Struthio camelus: one gene and its partners. Each later gene encodes a partner of the first gene's protein in a complex. Links are inferred from orthologs where the notes say so. Each region holds a gene or a part of one and is shown on either strand. Other genes may lie near its edges.

What was found. Proteins that work in one complex are often made in the same cells at the same time.
Region 2: TRRAP (region 1) and KAT5 share a complex: the UniProt entries of both Homo sapiens proteins name them as parts of the SWR1-like complex. The link is inferred for Struthio camelus from reciprocal best matches to the Homo sapiens genes TRRAP and KAT5.
Region 3: TRRAP (region 1) and TAF4 share a complex: the UniProt entries of both Homo sapiens proteins name them as parts of the TFTC-HAT complex. The link is inferred for Struthio camelus from reciprocal best matches to the Homo sapiens genes TRRAP and TAF4.

Annotation. Positions count from the first base shown.
Region 1 is NC_090956.1:8,614,599-8,621,939, forward strand, and holds the start of TRRAP (transformation/transcription domain-associated protein), read right to left. Parts: upstream 3,003-7,341; 5' UTR 2,934-3,002; intron 2,744-2,933; exon of another isoform or gene 2,548-2,743; intron 2,195-2,547; 5' UTR 2,141-2,194; coding exon 2,041-2,140; intron 1,657-2,040; coding exon 1,607-1,656; intron 1-1,606. Other genes in the region: TMEM130 (transmembrane protein 130), read left to right, coding at 3,114-3,279, 5,635-5,925. UniProt on the Homo sapiens protein: Adapter protein, which is found in various multiprotein chromatin complexes with histone acetyltransferase activity (HAT), which gives a specific tag for epigenetic transcription activation.
Region 2 is NC_090976.1:906,675-913,995, reverse strand, and holds the start of KAT5 (histone acetyltransferase KAT5), read right to left. Parts: upstream 3,003-7,321; 5' UTR 2,995-3,002; coding exon 2,854-2,994; intron 2,755-2,853; coding exon 2,688-2,754; intron 1,923-2,687; coding exon 1,854-1,922; intron 1,628-1,853; coding exon 1,491-1,627; intron 136-1,490; coding exon 1-135. Other genes in the region: RELA (transcription factor p65), read left to right, coding at 4,159-4,168, 4,653-4,697, 5,723-5,871, 6,405-6,553. UniProt on the Homo sapiens protein: Catalytic subunit of the NuA4 histone acetyltransferase complex, a multiprotein complex involved in transcriptional activation of select genes principally by acetylation of nucleosomal histones H2A and H4.
Region 3 is NC_090959.1:15,331,252-15,338,962, reverse strand, and holds the start of TAF4 (transcription initiation factor TFIID subunit 4), read left to right. Parts: upstream 1-4,709; 5' UTR 4,710-4,777; coding exon 4,778-5,093; intron 5,094-7,060; coding exon 7,061-7,711. UniProt on the Homo sapiens protein: The TFIID basal transcription factor complex plays a major role in the initiation of RNA polymerase II (Pol II)-dependent transcription.

The sequences.
Region 1 (7,341 bases):
ATGGAAATGGAAGTAGGTGACAGAGAAAAGTTAAAATGGACACTATGGAAACACAAGATGAAAGGAGTCCATCTAAGAGCTAGCAGAATGATCGGCAACAGTAACTTCTGCACTCTTCCAAAAAAATCAAAAATAAAAAAACCACCACCACTATATTAGCCATTCCTCTTGCTCCCTCGTAGTTCCATACAAACGAAACTGTGCTTAAGCATAAGTCAATTCATCCTCTTTATACGTAGGGTCACGTTACAGAACCAAGCAAGTTCCAAGAGAAGAAAAATACTCTATCTTGAACATTATCAAAAGAAATACTGAACAAGTTCTTCCCTACTGATGGCAAGGGCAAAGAGAACCAGCTCAGCTTTCAGATTTCAGCGAGATCACTAGATAAAGCCATTATAGCTACTCTTTTAGTCAGATATCAAATTAGGCTGGCGTGCCATCTTTGAAGCAAACATATACTGAAACTCCAAAAGGACATTTTAGACAGTCACTTAAGCTCTGCCCACCCTGACATATGGACGCAGATCACAGATGTCTACTTATTTGCTCACACAAGCTAAACAAGAATTTCGCCTTTTAATTCTCTTTATCATACAGTTACACTAGCTCAAATTGCATTCCTCTGTGTTAACCTGAACTAAATCAAACAATTCACTGGACAGGAAATTCCATTAATAGCACAGGAACAACTGAAATTGGTACAACCTTGCACAAACAGCACTGGAATGCAGCAACCTGTTGGACGTAACTTTGCGCAAAGCTGACAGAAAAATATTTGAAGACATTAAACAGCACTGGAATGGGTATTTTTGTGTCAGCATCTCAGACTAACAGAGATCACTTCAAATGAAGTTTATAAAACAGAGTGTGTTACAGCAGGGCATTGTTCTCACAAGCACATTTTCAAAGCAGTATAACTAAGAAACTAGATACAGAGAATTACAGTGATTCAGAGACCTTAAACTTACATTACAAAATAACAAGTTCTCTGTAATTTCAAAATAGACACATAGTAACTCAGTACTCAATAAAAGTACAATTCCCATGAACACATAGTTAGTTTAACTTCATTGCTGCTGATCTAAACTTGATGGTCTATTACGATGCAAAAGAGGTCACTGGAACTGTCTTCACTTCTAATGTCAGATTCCACATTGGACAACTGCCCCCTCACTTCTGTGCTATGAAACTATGCAGAAAAATCTGCGAAGGCCTATCTAGTCTTCTACTTCATGAGGACCAAATATATATTTGAATTAAATAAAAGAAAGTTCCAAATACATAGGTTTCAGATAGTTAGCCAAAATGGAAGAAAAAAAAAATCTATCACATCACCTTTATTTAAACATTTATCGAGAAAAGATTAGAGATCTCCAAGCCCAGAAGTCATAATTCTTCAATAATCTTGCTAATTCCAAACAAGACAGAAACATAATAAAAAATGAAGATTTCCATACATAAATATAATCCTAACATTGGTGACTTACAAGATAAATCATAAGACACAATATTAAGCTTTACACATAACATCAGAAATCAAGCTGACATACATTAGGCAAAAGAAGGACTATCGTTCAGGAAGCAATTTTTTTTTTAAGTTTACCTCAAAATTCTCACTGACTTCTTGCATCATTTTCAATTTGGTTTCATCGGCTGAAAACGGAAATTGAAGCAAAAGAAATTAAATGTAAAACTACATCGTAGAAGGGACACCAGCTCCACCGATCAAAGAAGCAATCAGATCTTATCAGTCCAGCTATCACCGCCCAGGTAGAAGGCACACGATTCTCACAAACATCCCTCTGTCATACAACGGCACACGCACACAGCTCTCTCGCTTCGGCTCATGCAAATATTACTCATCACTTTGCTTCTTCAAAAATCAAAACTCAAACCAAATCCAAAGCGAATCCAGCACGCCTTTATCCCCGCTAGTCTAGCCAACGCCGCCCCTGTCTGTGAAGCAAACGACGGAAACACGGCAACCCGCAGCACAAAAGGAAAAAAAAAGAAAAGAGGGAAAAAAGCGCATCTTACGTGTGTTGACATCTGTGAGAGCGGCCACGAACTGCAGGTATTTTTTCATCAGAGTGGTTTGGTCCACCACGGTGGGCCCTTGCGCGGTGACGAACGCCATGCCGGGGGCGGCGGGGCCGGCTGCTTTCAGCGCTCACAGCCGACACCAGCACACCTGCAAGAAACACAAAACACCTCTTCAAGTTCATGCGACCGGCAAACAGCAGCTGACGCGCTGCCCCCGCAGCCGCGGCTCGGGTTTGTTAGACGGGGACGCATCTCCTCCGACATGGCAGCTGTCACGCTTAGTTTGGCTGATCCGTAAGGGCTGGCGCTCGGGGCGGCGGAAAGGCGCCCCAGGCCCCAGCGGACCCCCGGCGCGGCCCGCACCTGCCGCCGCCATCGCGCCCGCCCCAGAACGGCCTTAACGCCGCCGCCGGCCCCCTCCTTCCTCCTCCTCCTCCTCCTCCTGCTGCCGCCGCTGCCCGCGGCGCGCCGGTTCCGCCCGCGGACCAGGCCGGGCCTCACCTCACCTCAGCGCCGGCCCGGGCCTAGGCCGCGCCGAGGCGCCGCCACCGCCGCCGCCGCTCCTCACCCCGCGCCCGGCCGGCCCCGGCCCCGGCCCCGGGCCCCCTCCTTTGTTGCTCCCGGCGCGGAGGCCGGCGGAGGCGCATGGGCGCAACGGAAGCGCCCGAGCCCAGTTCCGGCCGCCGCCACCGCCGCCGCCACCGCCCCCCGGCCCGGGGCGGGGCCGCGGTCCCCGCGCCTCCCCCGGCCCCGCGCGGGCGGCTTCGCCCGGCACCGGCCCCGCCGCCGCCCTCCCTCCCTCCCTCCCTCCGGCGGGCGAGGGGTCACCGGGGCGGCGCGGGGAGCCGCGGAGGGCAGCGGCGGAGCCCCGCAGCCGCGGGCGGTACCTCAGCTGCGCCGCGGAAACCCGCCGCCTTGTCGGCCGGGAGCGGGACTGCCCCCTCGCCGCGGGGCAGGGTTTGGGCTGGTTTGAGGTGTTTTTGAGGGGGGAAAAAAAAAAAAAAAAAAAAAAAGCCTTGGCGGCTTGCGCGGAGCCCGTCACGTTGGCGGCGGGCCTCGGGGCGGGGATGGGGGCTGTCCCCGCCAGGGCCGGGCCGGGCGCCGCAGGCTGGAAGCGGCCGGCGGCGCGGACGGAGGTGGCGCAGCGGCGGCGGTGCCTGCCCATGGCCGCCGCCGGCATCCTGCGGCTGAGCTGCCTGGCCCTGCTGCTCCGCCGCCCCGGCTCGGCCGCAGGTAAGGCGGAGCGGGCGGACCCCCCACCCCCCCCGGCGGCGGCGGCGGCAGGTGCCCGGTGCCGCGCCTGCCTCCTGCGCCTCCCGGCCCCCTCCAAAAGGCTCCTGCTGCCCGCGCAGCCCCCGGCTGTGCTGCGGCAAGGGGCTGGGGAGCCGCAGGACCGCCGAGGGCTGGACGAGCCCTCGCTGACTCACGGCCCGACCTTGCGTTAGCTGCCTGCTGTCCAGCCGCGGCAGCCGCGGGGCTCCAGCCTGGCCCCGGCTGGCCTGGAGTGCCTTGACCGCCTCTGGGGAGAAGCTGCTGGGTTAGCCCAAGGCCGCTGGCCGTTTGTCCGAGCTTTGTTCAAACAAAGCGGAGGGTAGCCTGAGTCTTCTGGAGACCTGAAAGCTCCCTGTGTCAGACTTCATTCAATCACCCGCGCTTCTCTGTTGGCTCAAAATTTGTGAACCCGGGGCCTTTCTCATGTTACGAAGTGGGAACGGTGAAGTTCTCACTCAGAAAGCAATGCTGCGGTTATTTTTCCTCCATCCTTTTGCATCCAATGTTGCTTAGCACCTGGGATCTGTGGAGTGAAATTAGGGGCCTAATGAGATGTTTGAGGTCTCTTTTCTTACCACCCCGGCTCGGAGGGGGACGCGAAAGGCATGCAGGGGCTAGCTGACCCCAGCGCTCCCTCCGGCCCGAGCGCTGCATTAGAGGCCCCAGGTGGGCGAGAAGTGCAACTTCTGCAGTTCAGAGGTTCTGCCGAGTCCCCGGCGTGATGAGCCCCAGCAGTGCAGCGCTCTGCTCAGCGTTGCTTTGTTGGGCTCCTGCGAGGTGATAACTAGCCAGACACTGCTGGGAGGAGGATGGGTACGCCGCGGGGGAGGCAAAAAACAGTCTGTTCCCAGCTCTCCCAGTTCCCAGCCCTCCATGGTTGTTGCATTTGGTTTTGTTGTTCCAACATGTGCAAGTCATTTAATGTCGCACTGCCATTTCTTAACCCACAAAATAAGTGCAGCAGTGCTTTCCCAGCACTGAAACCTGGGGATGTAACCCCCGGTTAAAACTGAATTTAGTATCCTTTCCGTAAAACCAAACCTTGCCCAGCTCTGCCCGATGTAGTAGTTGTAAGAGCGTAAGTAAGTAGCTTGTGTAAATGCAGCAGGGAAGAGAAGGGGGAGCAAGGCAGAGCAGCAGGGCTGTTTTTCAAGGTCACGAGTTTGGCACCCCCTTGCACCTCGCTGTTCCAGTTGTGAAAGCCATGAAGTAAGAACCCTTTTTTTTTTGCCCTTGAGGGCTGAACTGATCAAACACTAGGATGTTGGTAGCAGCTACAGCTTCAAATGCACAAGTTTCATTTATACTGAAATCTTTGGCCCTTTCCTAGAAAGGGACGTTAACAGTAGACCATAGATAAGTAGCTGGTACTGAGTTTCCATACTTGGGCAGAAGGTGGAGGGTACCAGGGTACCTGTGTGTCAGCAGAGCTGATAAAGGAAACTACTGCATGAAATCCTGCTTGGGCCTGAAAGTTCATTTTTAGTCCAAGGCTTTGCCCAGTGAGAGATTTCTTTAAGCAAGTTGGTAATTTGTCCTTTCTGTAACTGCAGAGAATTTTGCAGTGTCCTCACCTTTGACTTCCTCACTACAGCCCTGGTCTTAAAAAGAAAAAAAAAAAGTGGAAGTGCACCAACTGCTTTTATTTTGTTGTGTTTAAGTTATTTTCATGTTTAATGCAATTTTCAGAATGGACGCTTAATGCCAAACAGTAGAAACAGGTATAAGGCGCCGAAATATTTTTGAAAACTCTAGTGAGCATGCACCTACATCTGCAGATGCCTGCACACTGAAAGTTAGCCTATTTCAGCAAGGTTGGCCTGGCCTGCCTTTTCCTTTGCAAAGGATCTTCCTCTGCCATACAAATCCTTTTCAGCACGTGACTTTTCCATTCTGTTTTGAGTGAGAATTGAAACAACACGGATTAGATTTGAACCTGAAGCTTTTCAAGTGGATGGAAGTTTAGTGAGTATGGTGTTAGATTGCTAATGAACATAATGTTAGATTATAGCCCAGCTCTAGCTATAAAGCCTCCTCAAAGTTTTTTGGATGTTCAAATTAACATTTTTTGTTTAGGCTACCCCTTACTATTAACATTTCTAGGACCAATTCCTAGATGTTCTTTAATGCTACCTGTTTGAATTCAAATATATATGTGCGTAACAGTTTCAGTTCTAGCCTTTTACATGGTAAAAAAGGTGGCAAAGTCTTAGCTGGCATTAGTATCATCGTGAATCACGTAACTACAGCTGACCAGTGAGAATGTGAAGAAATAAAAATTGCAAAACAAAGAGATTTTTCTTCTGATTTTTGCAGAGGAGTATGATCTGGAAATAACCAACAACGGTCCCATCACAACAGGAGCTCAAGCTACTGTTCGTGCCAGTCTAAGTATGAAGAATGACAGAATGGCCTCACACTTTTATCATTTTAACTGGATTTATGCTCCTCTGATTCTCATTGAGAAATCAGAGCAGCGGTTTCACTCCCTGATTAATGTGACTGGTGAATTTCCTGGGACTTTTCCTGTATCTGTCTGGGTGACTCACAAAAACTGTTGGTTGTGTCGGCCTGTTGCTAGAAATGTCACCGTACTTCACATCACAGGTAAAATGGCTTTACAACTTCTACAGCTTCTTTACGACTTCTTGAATTCTTCAGGAATTCAAGCTACATCACAGTGGCTGCACTACCTTTGCTAGTATCAGAACGAGCAAAGGCCATCTCGGACAGGCCGTGTGCTAACCAGGCCACGTTGTCTCCCTGCGTCCGGGAAGCAAGCGTGGTGCTGCCCGTGTTTTCCTGCCTCTCTCGCTTAGGGGAACCAAGCTAGAAACCAGACGCTCCAGTAGCTGTAGGTCACGCATCAGTGCTGTTTGGTGATACCCAGTGCTGCCTGTGTAGCTGCTCAGCGTTTCGAGTCCCATTGTTAGGGCAACCGGAAGGAGCCACAATTGACTAGTTTTCCCTTTTGCATGACATAGAAAAACTTAGGCCATCAGCATGACAGAGCTGTTACACTTTCTTTCAAAGTTCAGGATGATCATCCTGAAACGAGAGGTGGAGTCATGGCTGCCTTTCCAAATTGCATCTTACTGTCATATTCATAGCCATAAACAGGCACTTTTGGACAAACTGGCACATGGGGCAGTGTGGTTAGCCTAAGCTCTGAGGCAGGGATCAACGTGAAGCATCCTTTGACAGCGTTCCGTGATCCCTTCCTCCAAAGACAGGCAAGCGCGTCCCTCCAGCCATGTGTCCCAGCTGCTCTCCTTGTGCGCTCCAAAACAGACCGACCCCACGTTCTGCAGCGGCAGAGGAGCAGCATGAGGACATCAATGATGACAAAAGAGCCTACCTGACATTTTGAGGAATAGCTATTACAATTTTTCTTTGAGAAACGCCAAGGGAAAGCCTTTATAAAAATATACATAAGATCTTTTCTCTCTTAAAAATTGCTGCCTTGCTGAATAGCTGCTTATTCCTTTTTCTCTTTGCACTGACTTAAAGTCTCATGTCACTAGAAAAAGGGATAGACATTTTTTATAGCTATGGTAAGCTAAGGTAAGATCTTGTTGTATCCTTCTGCCTTCCCCAAACAAGAGAATGATCTAAATTTTCTAACCTATGAATAAAGAGGTGTCATGATGATACGCTGACCAGCTCATTATAAAATGAATAGGATAAAAGCTGTCAGTAAGACACTTACCCTGGGCACAAAGGTGGTTCCCAATAACAAATATAAATAGGGGCACAAAGGTAGTTGCTAATAAAACATAAAAATTACGTTTTCCGGTTAGATCTGCATTATCAGCCCTATTCTGAAGCAGTAATTGTGATTCTTTTATTTGTGTATTATCAAGATAACGGTTAACCAGATTTAATGAATTGTTAACAGGGTAAGCATCTTACTAGTAACTCATATCCTATTAATGTTATAATGAGCTGATCAGCATATCATCGCAATACCTCTTTATTCATAGGTTAGAAAGTTTTTAGCTCAATTTCTGCTAATCCTTAGAA
Region 2 (7,321 bases), on another chromosome or scaffold:
CGGTTCGGCCTCGCCGGGGCCGGGGCCGGGCTCCCTCTCCTTGGGCAGGTTAAAGCGCAGCGTGATCTGCACCGGCACCGGGAGGCTCTTGCCGCTGGCCGGAGCCGCCGGCGCCGCCGCGTCCAGGCTCTTCCTCTGCGCCGGCGCGAGGAAGAGGAGCAGAAAGGGGGGCGGTGAGGGACCCTCCACCCTCCCTGTGGGTGCTGGCACCCGCCCGGGCCGTGGGGTCGGGGGGCGGGGGACGGGGGAACGGGGCCGGCCGGCAGCCTCCCACCCGCTTCCCCTCCCGCCCTCCCGGCGCGGCAAAGCGAAGCGTCCCGGCTCCCCGGCGGTCCCTCGTCCCCGATGCTCCCCGCGTCCCCCCACGGCTCCCGGTGGCTCCCAGCGGCTCCCGGTGGCCCCAGCGGTTCCCCGGTCCCCCGAGAGCTCCCGCGTTCCCGACGCTTCCCGGTGCCTCCAATGGCCCCGATGGTTCCTGGTGGCCCCCAGCAGCTCCCGGTGGCCCCTGATGGCTCCCAGTGGCCCCCGATGGTTCCTGGTGGCCCCCGATGGCTCCCGGTGGCCCCCGATGGTTCCTGGTGGCCCCCGATGGCTCCCGGTGGCCCCAACGCTTCGCCTAGGCCCACTGGCTCCCGTGTTCCCACCAGCTCCCAGTGTCCCCAGTAGCTCCCCCGGAAGCAGCAGCTCCCGCGTCCCCAACAGCTCTGGTGTCCCCAGTGGCTCCCAATGACCCCACTGGCTCCCAACATCCCCAGTGGCCCCTAACGTCCCCAGTGGCTCCCAATGACCCCACTGGCTCCCAACATCCCCAGTGGCCCCCAACGTCCCCAGTGGCTCCCAACGTCCCCAGCGACTCCCAACGTCCCCAGCAACTCCCAACATCCCCAGTGGCTCCCAACGTCCCCAGCGGCTCCCAACGTCCCTGTTGGCTCCCCCGTCCTCAGCGACTGCCCTGCGTCCCCTACGCTTCCCAGCGTCCCCAACGGCTCCCAGTAGCTCCAACAGCTTTAGGTGTCCCCCCAACCGAGGAGCAAGGGACGTCCGCGGAGCTCCAAGCGTCCCCAACGGTTCCTGGTGTCACCGTCGGGTGCAAAAACGTCCCCGGGGCTCCGTGCGTCCCTAAACTCTCTGCGTCCCCGCTAGGACCACAAACGGCCCTGACTGCAGGTGTCCCCAAAGCTTCTAGATGTCCCCAACTCATCTACGTGGCCTCTCTAGACCCGCAGACGTTTCCGACACTCAAGGTGGCCTTCCTGTCCCCCGAACGTGCCCTGAACGTCCTCGCTGTCCCCCGACCCCAAACGCGCCCCTGAACTCGTCCCCGAGTCAACTTCGAGAACGTCCCCGGGGCTCGAGGTGTCTTCTCCCGGCTCCGTCGGACGTCCCCGACAGCTCTAGTGAACCCGCCCACCCCCCCCAACCTGGGGGCGTCCCCCCCCCACCCCCAGCGGCGGCGGGGCCGTCCCCAGCGGCGGCGCCCGTCCCCTCACCACGTCGCGCTCCGGCGAGCCGGGCCGGGAACCGGGCAGGCCGTTCTTGGTGGGCGTCTTGGCTTCCTTCTTGGGGAACTGGATCTTCTTGAGGTCCAGGCGGTCGTGGGTGACCCATTCGTCCAGGCGCTTGTTGACTGGGGACGGCGGGAGGGGACGCGGTGACGCGGCGGCGGGACGCCCGCCCGCCCGGCTTGCGGTCGCCCCGGCTCTCGCCCCGAGGCTCTCGGGGGCCCCGTGGCCTCTTGGTGGCCCCGTCCCCTCCTCGGTGGCCCCGTCCCCGCCGCGGTGGCCCCGTCCCCTCCTCGGTGGCCCCGTCCCCCCCCAGTGTCACCGCGTTCACCCCCCCACCCCAAAACTCACAGTCGATGTAGTGGACGTAGAAGAGCTTGCGCCCGCTGATGTCCTTCACGCTCAGGATCTCGGCCAGCGCTGGGGGGGGCGGCGGGGAGGGGGCGGCAGGGGGGGAGAGGGGGTCGCCTCCCCCCCCCCACCTCCCCCGGGCCCCCCGGGCCGTGACCCCCTCATTGGGGCACCCTCGAATCCCCCCACCCCAAAGGTTGCCTTTCCCCCCTCCGAAATAGCGCTTCAGGCCAACGCAGGTTGCTCCCCCCGCCCCGATATTGCCACCCCCCTACCCAATTACCCCCCCCACAAGACCCCCTCTCCCAAATTTCCCTTCCCCCCCCCCAAAACGTCCCTGGGGGACCCCAAATATCTCCCAGTCTCAAGTCCCCCCCCCCGCTGTCCCCAAAATCCCCCAAACGCCCCCAAAACCCCCCCAGGGACCCTCCAATCCCCCTGAGCCCCCCCCCAAATCCCCTTGCCCCCCCCAAATAGGGAACCCCGGGGGAGGGGGGACAGCTCCCCCGCCCGGCCCCGCCCCCTCCTCCTGGCCCCACCCCGCCCCGCAGCAGCCCCGCCCACTCCTCCTCCTGGCCACGCCCCCTCCGCCCCGCTGGGCCTCCGTGTCGTCCCCCCGCCCCGCGCGGTGGCCCCTCCCACCCTTCCTCCTGGCCACGCCCCCGCGATTGCCCCGCCTGGCCCCGCCCACTCCCCTCCCGGCCCCGCCCACTCCCGGCCCCGTCAGTGCCCCGCCTGGCCCCGCCCACTCCCCTCCCGGCCCGGCCCCGCCCTTCCGCGCCCCGCTCCCGCGGCGGCCCCGCCCCCTCGCGCGGCGGCCCCGCCCCCGCTCACGCCACTCATCCTCGTTGTCCTGGTTGCGGCGCAGCACGGGCAGGCGGCAGCCCTCGGACACCTCCCCCTGCGGGCGGCGCGGCGTCACGGCGGGGGGGTCCCGGGGTCCCGCCGCCCCCCCCTCCGCCGCCCCCGCCCCGCCCCGCCCCGCGCCGCCGCCGCTCACCACCTCCGCCATCCTCGGCCGCAAACCGGGGCCCGCCGCGCACCGCTTCCGGGTCGCCGCCCCAGCGCTTCCGCCTTCCGCTCGCTTGCCCGCCCCGACGTCACTTCCGGCTTGCTCGCCGCCCGCCCCGCGCCTGCGCATGCGCGCGGCGGGAGACCGGGGGTGGGGCTCGCTCGCCGGGCGCTCCTTCCCGCGGTCCTCCCGCTAGACTCTATGGTCGCACTATGGGTCCCCCCCCGTTATGGGTCCCCCCATTATGTGTCCCCCCATTATGTGTCCCCCCATTATGGGTCCCCCCGTTATGTGTCCCCCCGTAATGGGTCCCCCCCGTTATGGGCCCCCCCATTATGAGTCCCCCCCGTTATGTGTCCCACGCCGTTATGGGTCCCCCCGTTATGGGTCCCCCCCCGTTGTGGGTCCCCCCGTTATGGGTCCCCCCGTTATGTGTCCCCCCGTTATGGGTCCCCCCGTTATGGGTCCCCCCCCGTTATGGGTCCCCCCATTATGGGTCCCCCCGTTATGGGTCCCCCCCCGTTATGTGTCCCACGCCGTTATGGGTCCCCCCGTTATGGGTCCCCCCCCATTATGTGTCCCCCCGTTATGGGTCCCCCCATTATGGGTCCCCCCGTTATGGGTCCCCCCCGTTATGTGTCCCCCCGTTATGTGTCCCCCCGTTATGTGTCCCCCCATTATGGGTCCCCCCGTTATGGGTCCCCCCCCGTTATGGGTCCCCCCGTTATGGGTCCCCCCGTTATGTGTCCCCCGTTATGTGTCCCCCCCCGTTATGGGTCCCCCCCCCCGTTATGGGTCCCCCCCATAGGTCCCCCCGTTTTCGGTTCCCCCACATCCGTTCCCCCTCCTTTTGGGTTCCCCCCCCCCCATTATGGGTTCCCCCCCCCCGCCTGGTTTTGCGCCTCTTTTCGCCTCCCTCCGCCGGCCGCAACTGCCCGCCGGCCCCTGCCGCTCGGCCCCGCCCCCTCATTTGCATGGGGGCGGGGCCGGAGCGCGGAGGGGGCGGAAGGGGCGGGGCCGGACGGGGCGGGGCCAGAACGCGGAGCGGGCCGGGGGCGGGGCCGGGGGCGGGGCCTTCCCGGCAGCGGGGGGTCACGTGGGGCGGCGGGGCCACTTCCGCGAATGGCGACGCGGTAGCGGCGGGGCCCGAAGCGGCGGCGGCGGCGGCGGCGGGACCGGACGGTCGCGCCCGGGCGCGGCGGCCCCGCCCACCCCCCTCTCGCCCCGCCCCCACCGGCACCGGGGACCCCCCCCACCCCCCTACCCCTCCCCCCACCCCTCCGCCCGGCCAAGATGGAGAACGGTGAGTGCCCCTCCCCCACCCCCTTCCGCCGGGGGGGGGGGGGCGGGTCGAGGCTCCCCGAAATCGGTGGTTCCCCCCCCCCGCCTCGCCGGTGACGTCAAGCCGCGGTGACGTCAGGGGATCCCCCCTACTCTCCCCCCGCTGGCGGCGGCGTCAGTAGGTTTCAGGGTTAACGCGCGCGGTGGGGGTGGGGGGGGGGTCCCCCCGTCACGTGACGCCGCGGCGTGCGCGCCCCTTCGGTGCGTTACGGTAGCGGCGGCGGCGGCGGCCTTCCCGCACTGCGCCTAATAGCGGCGCGGCGCGGCCGTAGAGCCTCGAAGAGAGGCGCAGCCGGTTTCGTCTCCGCTTTCCTTCCCTCCCTTCCCCCCCATGGCGCGGCAGCTGGTTGGGGGGGGGGCGGGAGGGGGCCCCGGCGTCCGGGCCGGGCTCCCCTCCCCCGCTGACACCCCCGCTCGTCTCTCCCTCCCCCCCCTCCCCCCCGCAGCCGATCTGCTGCCCTTCCTCCTGCAGCAGGACTGGGGCCTGCAGGGTGAGTGGGGGCCCAGGCGTCCGGGGTCGGGGGGGGGGGTCACTCGGACACCTGGGCCCCTTTTGGGGGGGGGTTACCCGGATGCCTGGGCCCCCTTGGGGGGGGGTCACCCGGACGCCTGGGCCCCTTTGGGGGGGGGGGTCACCCGGACACCTGGGCCCCTTTTGGGGAGGGTCACCCGGACACCTGGGCCCCTTTTGGGGGGGGGGGTCACCCGGACGCCTGGGCCCCTTTGGGGGGGTCACCTGGACACCGGTGCCCCTTTTGGGGGGGGTGTTGGGGTCACTCGGACACCTGGGCCCCTTTGGGGGAGGGGTCACCCGGATGCCTGGGCCCCTTTTGGGGGGGGGTCATCTGCACGCCTGGGCCCCTTTTGGGGGGGGGTCACCTGGACACCGGGGCCCCTTTTGGGGGGGGGTCACCCGGGCGCCTGGGCCCCTTTGGGGGGGGTCACTCAAACACCTGGGTCCCTTTTTTTGGGGGGGGGGTCACACGGCCACCTGGATCGCTTGGTGGGGGGGGGGCTCTCCCGGACGCCTGGGCCCCGTTGCAGAGCCGGGGGGGGTGGGGGGGGGCTCTCCCGGACGCCTGGGCCCCGTTGCAGAGCCGGGGGGGGTGGGGGCGGGGGGGCTCTCCCGGACGCCTGGGCCCCGTTGCAGAGCCGGGGGGGTGGGGGTGGGGGGGGCTCTCCCGGACGCCTGGGCCCCGTTGCAGAGCCGGGGGGGGGCGGGGGGGGTGGGGGTGGGGGGGCTCTCCCGGACGCCTGGGCCCCGTTGCAGAGCCGGGGGGGGGCGGGGGGGGTGGGGGTGGGGGGGCTCTCCCGGACGCCTGGGCCCCGTTGCAGAGCCGGGGGGGCGGGGGGGGTGGGGGTGGGGGGGGCTCTCCCGGACGCCTGGGCCCCGTTGCAGAGCCGGGGGGGGGCGGGGGGGGTGGGGGTGGGGGGGCTCTCCCGGACGCCTGGGCCCCGTTGCAGAGCCGGGGGGGCGGGGGGGGGGGCTCTCCCGGACGCCTGGGCCCCGTTGCAGAGCCGGGGGGGGGCGCCCCCTTCGTGGAGATCATCGAGCAGCCCAAGCAGCGGGGGATGCGCTTCCGCTACAAGTGCGAGGGCCGCTCGGCCGGCAGCATCCCCGGCGAGCACAGCAGCGACACCACCAAGACCCACCCCACCATCCGGGTGAGCCCCCAGTATAGACCAGTGCGCACCAGTATAGACCAGTGCGCACCAGTAACCCTCCAGCGCCCTCCCCGCGCCCCCCCTGGGCCCCCAGCCCCGGCGAGCACAGCAGCGACACCACCAAGACCCACCCCACCATCCGGGTGAGCCCCCAGTACAGACCAGTGCGCACCAGTATGCTCCCAGTAGCTCCTCCAGGGTCTCCCAGTAGCCCCCCAGCGGTTGGGGCTGGGGGCTTAGACTCCCCTGGACACTTGGGTCCCTCCCCGGACACCTGGGCCCCGCCGGACAGCTGAGCCCCCCTGTACACCTGAGTGCCACCCGGACGCCTGGGCCCCTTTCCGGACACCTGGGCCCCTCCCCGGACTCCTGGGCCCCCCTTCCCACCCACCGTAGCTGAGCGCGGAGGTTGGGCTCTGCCCGGACGCCTGGGTCCCTCTTAGCGGTTCTAACGCCCGGGTTGGGAACACGGGGGCAGAGGGGGGTTCCCGGACGCCTGGGCCCCTCCCCGGACGCCTGGGCCCTTGGCGCAGATCAACAACTACCGGGGCCCGGGGCGAGTGCGGGTGTCGCTGGTGACGAAGGAGGCGCCGCACCGGCCGCACCCCCACGAGCTGGTGGGCAAGGACTGCCGCGACGGCTACTACGAGGCCGAGCTGGCGCCCGAGCGCAACGTGCACAGGTGAGCCGGACGCCTGGGCCCCTTTGCGAGCCGGACGCCTGGGCCCCTTTGCGAGCTCGGATGCCTGGGCCCTTCGGGGGAGAGGGACGGAGAACGGGACGCGGCGGCCGCTCCGAGGCCGAGTTGGTGCTCGAGAGTGACGTCGCGCGGGTTGCCCGGACGCCTGGGCCCCTTCTCGGGTAGCCCGGGCGCCTGGGTCCCTTCTCGGGTAACCCGGATGCCTGGGCCCTTCAGGGTTTGGGGCGCGCGTTAAGTTAGGGACCGGACGCCTGGGCCTCTCTTGGGTAGCCTGGATGCCTGGGCCCCTTCTCGGGTAGCCCGGATGCCTGGGCCCTTTCTTGGGCAGCCCGGACGCCTGGGCCCTTCAGGGTTGGGGCACATGTTAAGTCGGGGACCGGATACCTGGGCCCTTCTCGGGTAGCCCGGACACCTGGGCCCTTTGGGACTGGGGCGCATGTTAAGTCAGGGACCGGACGCCTGGGCCCCTTCTCAGGTAGCCCGGACACCTGGGCCCTTCAGGGTTTGGGGCGCGTGTTAAGTTAGGGACCGGATGCCTGGGCCCTTCTCGGGTAGCCTGGACGCCTGGGCCCCTTCTCGGGTAGCCTGGACGCCTGGGCCCCTTCTCGGGTAGCCTGGATGCCTGGGCCCCTTCTCGGGTAGCCCGGACGCCTGGGCCCTTTGGGACTGGGGCGCACGTTAAGTCAGGGACCGGACGCCTGGGCCCCTTCTTGGGTAGCCCGGACGCCTGGGCCCTTTGGGACTGGGGCG
Region 3 (7,711 bases), on another chromosome or scaffold:
TTCATCATTTCCAATTATCAGTCACTGGGTAAGGAACAGAAAAAGGGGCAGGGAAGGACAACAGTACCAGTCTTTCCATTCATTTATTGATGGGACTTTAGTATTATCACTGGTCAGCTAAGTCTCACAAAAGTTGTGTGTACAGACAACCAAAAATGACTACCCTTCTCCTCCTGAACCATTTATGAGCTGTAGGTTTCTCTGCTGTGTCCCTTATCATCATCATCCATACTGCTGTCTCCTCTGGGTGATGTTCTTGTAATGAGTTCTAGGCTAACAACAGTTTTTAGAAAAACAGAAAGAGAATTGCATTAATACTTGTGTCTTGAGACACCGTCTCCATGCCATAATCTATATAGTCTACCTATAAAGGGAAAAAAAAGAATGAATTAAGTATTTAAATACTAAAATGCTGAAAAGAACAGGTTAAGGGAACAGAGAGTCCTCCATTTTTCTGTATAGCTCCTACTTGCCTCTATGCTTTAGGGACACTAGAGAGCATTTGGCTATAACATTCAAGATCTTTTGATGCAATCCTTGATGGGTGAAATATACAGCATTTACTGGAGGTTGAGTCTGCCTTTCTCTACACCAACACCTATAATTACCAGTAACCCATTTACTAGGATTCTTATGTTAGCTGCTCTTTTATAGCATTTAAAACAGAAATAGGCGTGCTGTAGAATACAGAGGACATGCTGGGTAGATGAGGGGAGAGCAGTGGATGTTGTCTCCCTGGACTTCAGCAAGGCTTTTGACACTGTCTCCCATCACATCCTCCTAGGTAAGCTCAGGAAGTGTGGGCTAGATGAGTGCATAGTGAGGTGGACTGAGAACTAGCTGAATGGCAGAGCTCAGAGGGTTGTGGTGAATGGCACAGTCTAGTTGGAGGCCTGTAGCTAGCTGTGTCCCCCAGGGGTCAGTCCTGGGCCCGGTCTTGTTCAACTTATTCATCAATGACCTGGAGGAAGGGACAGAGTGCACCCTCAGCTAGTTTGCTGATGATACTAAACCGGGGGGAGTGGCTGACACAGCAGAAGGCTGTGCTGCCATTCAGAGGGACCCGGACAGGCTGGAGAGCTGGGCGGAGAGGAACCTCATGAAGTTCAACATAGGCAAGTGCAGGGTCCTGCACCTAGGCAGGAATAATCCCATGCACCAGTACAGGCTGGGGGTTGACCTGCTGGAAAGCAGCTCTGCTGAGAAGGACCTGGGAGTCCTGGTGGGCAACAAGTTAACCGTGAGGCAGCAATGTGCCCTTGTGGCCAAGAAGGCCAATGGTCTCCTGGGGTGCCTTAGGCAGAGTGTTGCCAGCAGGCCGAGGGAGGTGATCCTGCCCCTCTCCTCAGCCCTGGTGAGGCCTCACCTGGAGCACTGTGTCCAATTCTGGACTCCCCGGTACAAGACACACATGGCACTACTGGAGAGAGTCCAGCGAAGGGCTACCAGGATGATGAGGGGACTGGAGCATCTCTCCTGTGAAGAAAGGCTGCGAGAGCTGGGCCTGTTCAGCCTGGAGAAGAGAAGACAGAGGTGACCTGATCAATGTGTACAAGGATCTGAAGGGGGGGGTTGTCGAGAGGATGAGGCCAGTCTCTTCTCCATGGTGCCAAGTGACAGGGCAAGAGGCAACAGGCACAAACTGCAACACAGGAAGTTCCATCTGGACCTGAGGAAAAACTTTTTTCCTGTGAGGGTGACAGAGCACTGGAGCAGGTTGCCCAGAGAGGTGGTGGAGTCTCCTTCGCTGGAGATATTCAAAACCCACCTGGACGCGATCCTGGGAAATATGTTCTAGAGGACCCTGCTCGAGCAGGGGGGTTGGACTAGATGATTTCCAGAGGTCCCTTCCAACCTCGGCCATTCTGTGAGAAAGAATCCCAACCCTGAGGAATCACATATAGAAAATTACTTCCAATGGTAAACAAGAGACAGATAAGTGTGAAAAGATAAAGTATTTAGTAATGTATCCTGCACACTTACAATGTGCAAGTGGTAATGCATCTCGGTTGTTCTTGTAATTTTGTAAGGTTGCTTACCTGATGTGGTAGATATTGCCATATGGTATACTAGAGAGAGTGTCAGAACAAGGACATAAAGATTTCTAGACTTTTTTTTCTACTTTGGTATGCAACTGTAAACTACATTCCAGTTGTCCTAGAAAACTAGCAGGAGAAGAATATAGCCTGCTCTGATCCTTTATGTTAGCTGCTACTGCCCTTTGATAATTTAATCCATCTCTGATGTCACCATCTCTCTTTTTTCATCACTTTTCCTGGCACTGCAGCCCAACTTTGCACTATACTCCTGTTGAGATGCTGTGAAAGAAAGACTTGCAGTGACTCTGTCACCCTTGGGCTGTTTCCGCTGAATTCTAGCTGTTTACCTCAATAACCGATTTGAGCAGCTGTAGACTAACTCTCTGTTTTGGGGATCTGAACAGACTTCTATTCTAGATAGCTCTTTGGTATGTAGCTTATAGAATTTAATCGTGGCCAAAAACTAGCAATGTGCTTGACTGTAGCAGCGACAAATTCACAGGCACCACTGTGCTTGACAAAGCATTCTTGCATTGTAAGAAATGGGCCACACGACCTACAACATCAGTAAAATTGCAGCTACTTTAAGCATTATAATTTGGTCAGAATGGATGAAGTGGAAGTTAAAAGTTATAGAGAGGAAAAGGGCATTTTCTTTGCTTCTCTCCCTTGAATTTTGAGCGATGACCGAGAAAAGCTTTGAGAAGTATAGAAGGCTTGAGAACAAGAATAATTTAACAAAGATTAATTTTATAACTTCTCAGAGGAGCTAGGCCGTCCCTCCTAGCGATGTGTCCTTTTGAAGCGATTAGAGCCTCAGGAAGGGCTAGCTGTTGTAATTCCAACTCACCCTGCAGAAGGCTACTGCAGGTGAGAAGAGGACACAAGTAACTAGAACTGCAAATCCCTCAGTATAAGCAGTTTTCTAAAACTTTCAAGTTATTACACTACTATTTGAGGCCCATACATTAAGAACAAAATACCTATCTGATTTTGTTTTTTCTTTGAGCTTTTTGCAAAGAGTTTCTCTCATGTGGGAACATTCACAGATTTGGGGGCAGGGTAAGATATGGGACAGCATTTCAGTATTTTTCCCCATCATTTAGGACAGCTAGTGGACATGATTTACAGCTAATAACATGATTTACTTCACGTTACAGCAGTGCAAGTGATCACCACAAATCTGTAAATATAAGAAGCACTGACGCCCAACTTTAGGCAAACCTAAGTAAAGAATACTTTGTCTCTGACCTATTTCAAGCAATCCAGTCTCACAGAAAACTTGCAGCTCTTATTCTTACCAGTCTCCATCTTTGCAGTCTTAAGTCAGCTATCAGGACAGTAAATTCTAGACATTATTAAGGAACGCATTAGCAGGTGCCGAGTCTGATCCCACTGCAACACAACTCCAGTCTTTAATTGCACCCATTCCCAGTACATCAGAGCAAAACTCATCATACTGCAATAAGAAGCGTTATCATGCTAAACCTGATTCCTCTTTAAAAACGACCTGCCACGATTTGTCCGTCAGTATTGTTCCAGCCGTTCGGTAGCCTTGAGAAACAGCGCCTAGCAAAAGAAAATATTAAAAGGCGGGTTGCATTTTTACTTCAAGTGTATTTACTTCCTTTAGGATGGTTGCACAACGAGGTCAAAGTGCAGTTTCCTACTGTAAGAGCGGCGCTCACGAAGTCCCGCGTACCTGCAGCCCGCGCCCAGCGCGCCCCGCCGCCGCGGTTCCCCTTCAGCTGCTCTTGGCTCTTGCGCAGCTGTAACGCCTCGGCTTTCCCCGAAGGGTTAAGCGGCAGCGGGGGCGTTAACGCGCGCGGGCGCGCCGGGATGGCCCCAGCGCAGCAGCCCCCCGCCTGACGCTGTCGGGCTCCGAGCGGGGAGTGGACTATTTAAAATAGTAACCTCCCTCTTTCATTTTTTGTTTGTCCCCGGCGCCGAAAGCCGAGCTCCCCTCCCGGGCTTGCGCTCCGTCGGGGCTGGCCGCCAACCCCTCCGCGGCCCGGCCCGGCCCGCCGTGCTGAGTCAGGCTGCTCGGGCCGGGGGGGCGGGGAGGGGCGCCGGGCCCCCGCTGCGAGCCGCGGCTCCCGCCCCGCGCCCCGGCTACCTGCCGCCGGCACCCGGCGGCGGCGGGGGCGGCCCGGGCCGGCAGCGCTGCGGCTCCGCCTGCGGCGCAGCGAGGCGCGGGGGCCGCCGCCGCCGCCCCCCCTCCCCTCCCCTCCCGCCCGCCCGGCGGATCAGTTACACGCAGCTGGCACAGGTGTGCGGCGCCGGCGAGGGAGACCCGGGCGCAGGGAGCAGCGGGCAGACATGCAGCCATTTTGGGCCGAGGCAGACAAAGAGGCGCGGCCGCCGCCCCCCTCCTTCCCGCCTCTCCTCCCCCCGCCCCCCTCCGCGTCGCGCCTCGCCCCGTCGCGCCTCGGCCGGCCGGCCGCACCGCCCGCCCCCGCCCGCCACAGCCGCCGCGCCCCGCCACCGCGTCGCGGCCGGGCCGCTGCCGCCCGACTCCCAACTAAGAGCTCGCAGCCATTTGCCCTGCCTTTTATACCCGGCCGGCGGCCAATCAGCGGCGAGCGGAATCCCTCTCCGGCCGGTGATGTGAGGCGAGGCGGCTGCGCCTGCGCAGTAAGGGGGGCCGAGTGTGTGGGGGGGGGTGGGGGGAGGGAGGGAGGAGTGAAAGGGGAGGGGGGGGAGGAGGGAGCAGCTCACAGGAACCCTCCAAAAAAAAGATGGCGGCGGGCTCGGATCTGCTGGATGAGGTTTTCCTGAACACGGAGGTGGATGAGAAGGTGGTGAGCGACCTGGTGGGCTCCCTGGAGTCCCAGCTGGCGGCCTCCGGCCACCACCACCAGCACCACAAGGCGCAGGAGCCCCTGAGGGCCGCTGGGGGGCTGCTGGGGAACCATGTTGTGAGCAGCAGCAGTAGCAGCAGCAGCCCTAGCCCTAGCCCTGGAGGAGTAGTAGTAGGAGGCAATGCTAATGTCCAAACAGAGAGCAGCAGCAGCAGCAAGATGGGACTCAGTGCCCCAGAGATCACAAAAGCAGGTAACATGGGCAGGGGTGGGGGGCTCGGAGGGGAGAGGGGGCCTCCCCTCCCCCCACTGCCCGGCTCCGGCTGCCTCCTTCCCTCACTGCTTTTTTTCCCCCCCTTTTTCCCCTCTCTCCTCCGTCTTGTTGTGGCAGGAGCCGGAGTGCAAAGGGTGGTATCGATCATACGGGGGAGAGCCTCCCCTCATCATGCCCCCTCGGTGTGTATCCGTGCCTGTGCTCCCTCCCCTTTATTTTCCCTCCTCGCTCCTGCTTACTAGAGGATGTTTTATCATGTGTGGGGGCAGTATCCCTACATCATAACCCGTCAGTGCCTGCCTGTGACTCTGTCGGTCCCCCTCTTCTTTTTCTGCCCTTGTTGCTGGAGTGTAAAAGGCTCTATTAATCTTGGGGTTGAGGGAGGCAGAGCCCACCCCCTCGGTGCTGCCTGTCCCTCACATGCCATCTGTGACTGATCCCCTTCCTTTTCCAGGGGTGGAGGTTATGGGGGGGGATTCCCTCTTAATAACGCCTGCTTAGCTGTCTGTGTAAATGCTCCTTCCCCTCCCCCTTCGCTGTTGCTGAAGTGCAAGGGGGTGTTATTAATCATGACACCTATTTCCTGTATAGGAGGAAGCGAGGGGGGATTTCAAGGGGAGGAAGTCCCTCAAAATGCTTCCCCCCCCCATATCTGTCTGCCTGGATATGCCTCCCCCACCCCCTCCCTTGTTCCTGGGGCTTGGAGGGGGCATTCAACACCTCTCATTCCCCCTCTGCCCTCAAGGGGGTGTTGTCACAACATTAGGTCCCAGGAAGGGGGGGGAATTCAGGCCATAACACCCCACCTTGTACAATGTCTTCCCCCACCCCCCCGCCCCCCAGCATCTACCTGTGACTGTTCCCTCCCTTCATGTTGTGAAGGCTGTAGGGGGATGGTATTAATCACAGCCTTAAGGGTTCCCTCCATGAGAATGGAGGGAAGCTTTTTTTCAGGGGAATAAAAAAAAAAAATGTCTCCCCAGAATCTCTCTGCAATTCCTCCCCTCCCCCCCTTTTTGCTTTCTTTCTTTCTTCTTGCTGAAGTGTAAGAAGATATTACAGACCTTCTGTCATGATTAATGAAGCTCTTCTAGGAGGATCTCCTTAACCCTTATGAGATGCATCTCAGTATCTGTCTGTCACTATTCTTTCCCCATTTCTGTCTCCTTAGGGCCAGGACCCAGGCTGTCTGTGATTGTACTAGTGATAACACCAGGCCTCATCAAGGGGCGTGAGGATTATTCAGGACAAGAAGCTACATCACCTTATCCTTTCTCAAAATCAGCCTTGCTTTTTATTTATTTATTTTTAACCATCTCTGGCTGTGGGAACTTCAGAGCCAGAAGAATAAATTTTGTAATAAGGTGGAGAGGTCTTCTTATAACCTGCTCCAGACCTTATACTACTCCTTATCTTGGCCGGCTGGTGTTTTTCTTTTCCTTCACTTTTTTTGCATCTTGCTGTTGTTGAGCTTCCTGCTCTAACTGACTTAACGTTGTAGCAGATGAGAGGATTAGGGCGTAACTTGCTGGGCATAGGGAATGTGCCTTATTAATGTGTCTTCCAATGCTATTTTTTTTCCTCTTGTTGGTGCAGGCATGCTGCTAAACATAATATCAGGCTCTAGAATGGGGAAGAGGTCTAAAGAGAAGATCTCCTTCCTCCTTCCTTCCTTCACTTCATAGCAAATCTGTTTTCCCTGTTTTATCTTACTGTGGTGATGAAGGTGGGAGTGTTGCAATTAATATTGAATCCACCAGTCTCTAGTGGGAAACTGGAGGCTTCAAGATAACGTCTTTAAATCCTTCTTCAGTTTATACTCTGTTCCATTTTCTTGGCAGGCAGTTTGGGAGATGAAGAAGACTTGGTGGTGAGGGAGAACATTCTGTCTTCGTTGGATTTCTCCTGCTCGTTCTGTCTTTTTAACCTTGTTGTTGTTGTTGCAGGAGCAGGAGGAGTGCAAGGAGGCGTTATTAATCATAACACCAGGTCCCAGAGCTCAACTCTGGATGGAGGCACCACAACGAGCACCAGCACCACCACTGCAGCAGCAGGAGGATCTGAAGTTACTGCTGCTCCAGGGACCCTCAGTCAGGGCAAATCGGTGGTTATCAGCACGATGGCAACTGCCTTGTCCACCAGGAATGGCAAGATTGGGACCACAACAGTGCAAACTTTGAATGGGAGTAATGTGGTGATGAACTCTCACCACACAGGAAGTGCTGCTTTCTCCGGGACTCCTGTGACTGCTAACCCTGCTTCTGCACCTGCTGTTGCCCCTCTAGTTAACAATGGACCTGGATCTGTCGGAAAAGGAAATACTGTTAATGCTGTTTTGCCATCAGCTTCCAACACTGTCATCCAGACTTCTTTCCTTAATACTGCTGTGTCGTCTGCATCTTCTTCCTCACCCACAGTTATTTCCTCGCAGCCACCACCGAGCATTGGAAGTGGGGGGCCTACGGTAACGCTTGTGAGGCCACCAATTCACACAGCAGGACCCACAGTAGCTGCAGCTGGTGCAGCCACTCAAAATGGGAGCAATACTGTGATCAATTCAACCATCAGTGTGGGGAGTTTTCCTGCTGTTGCTACAG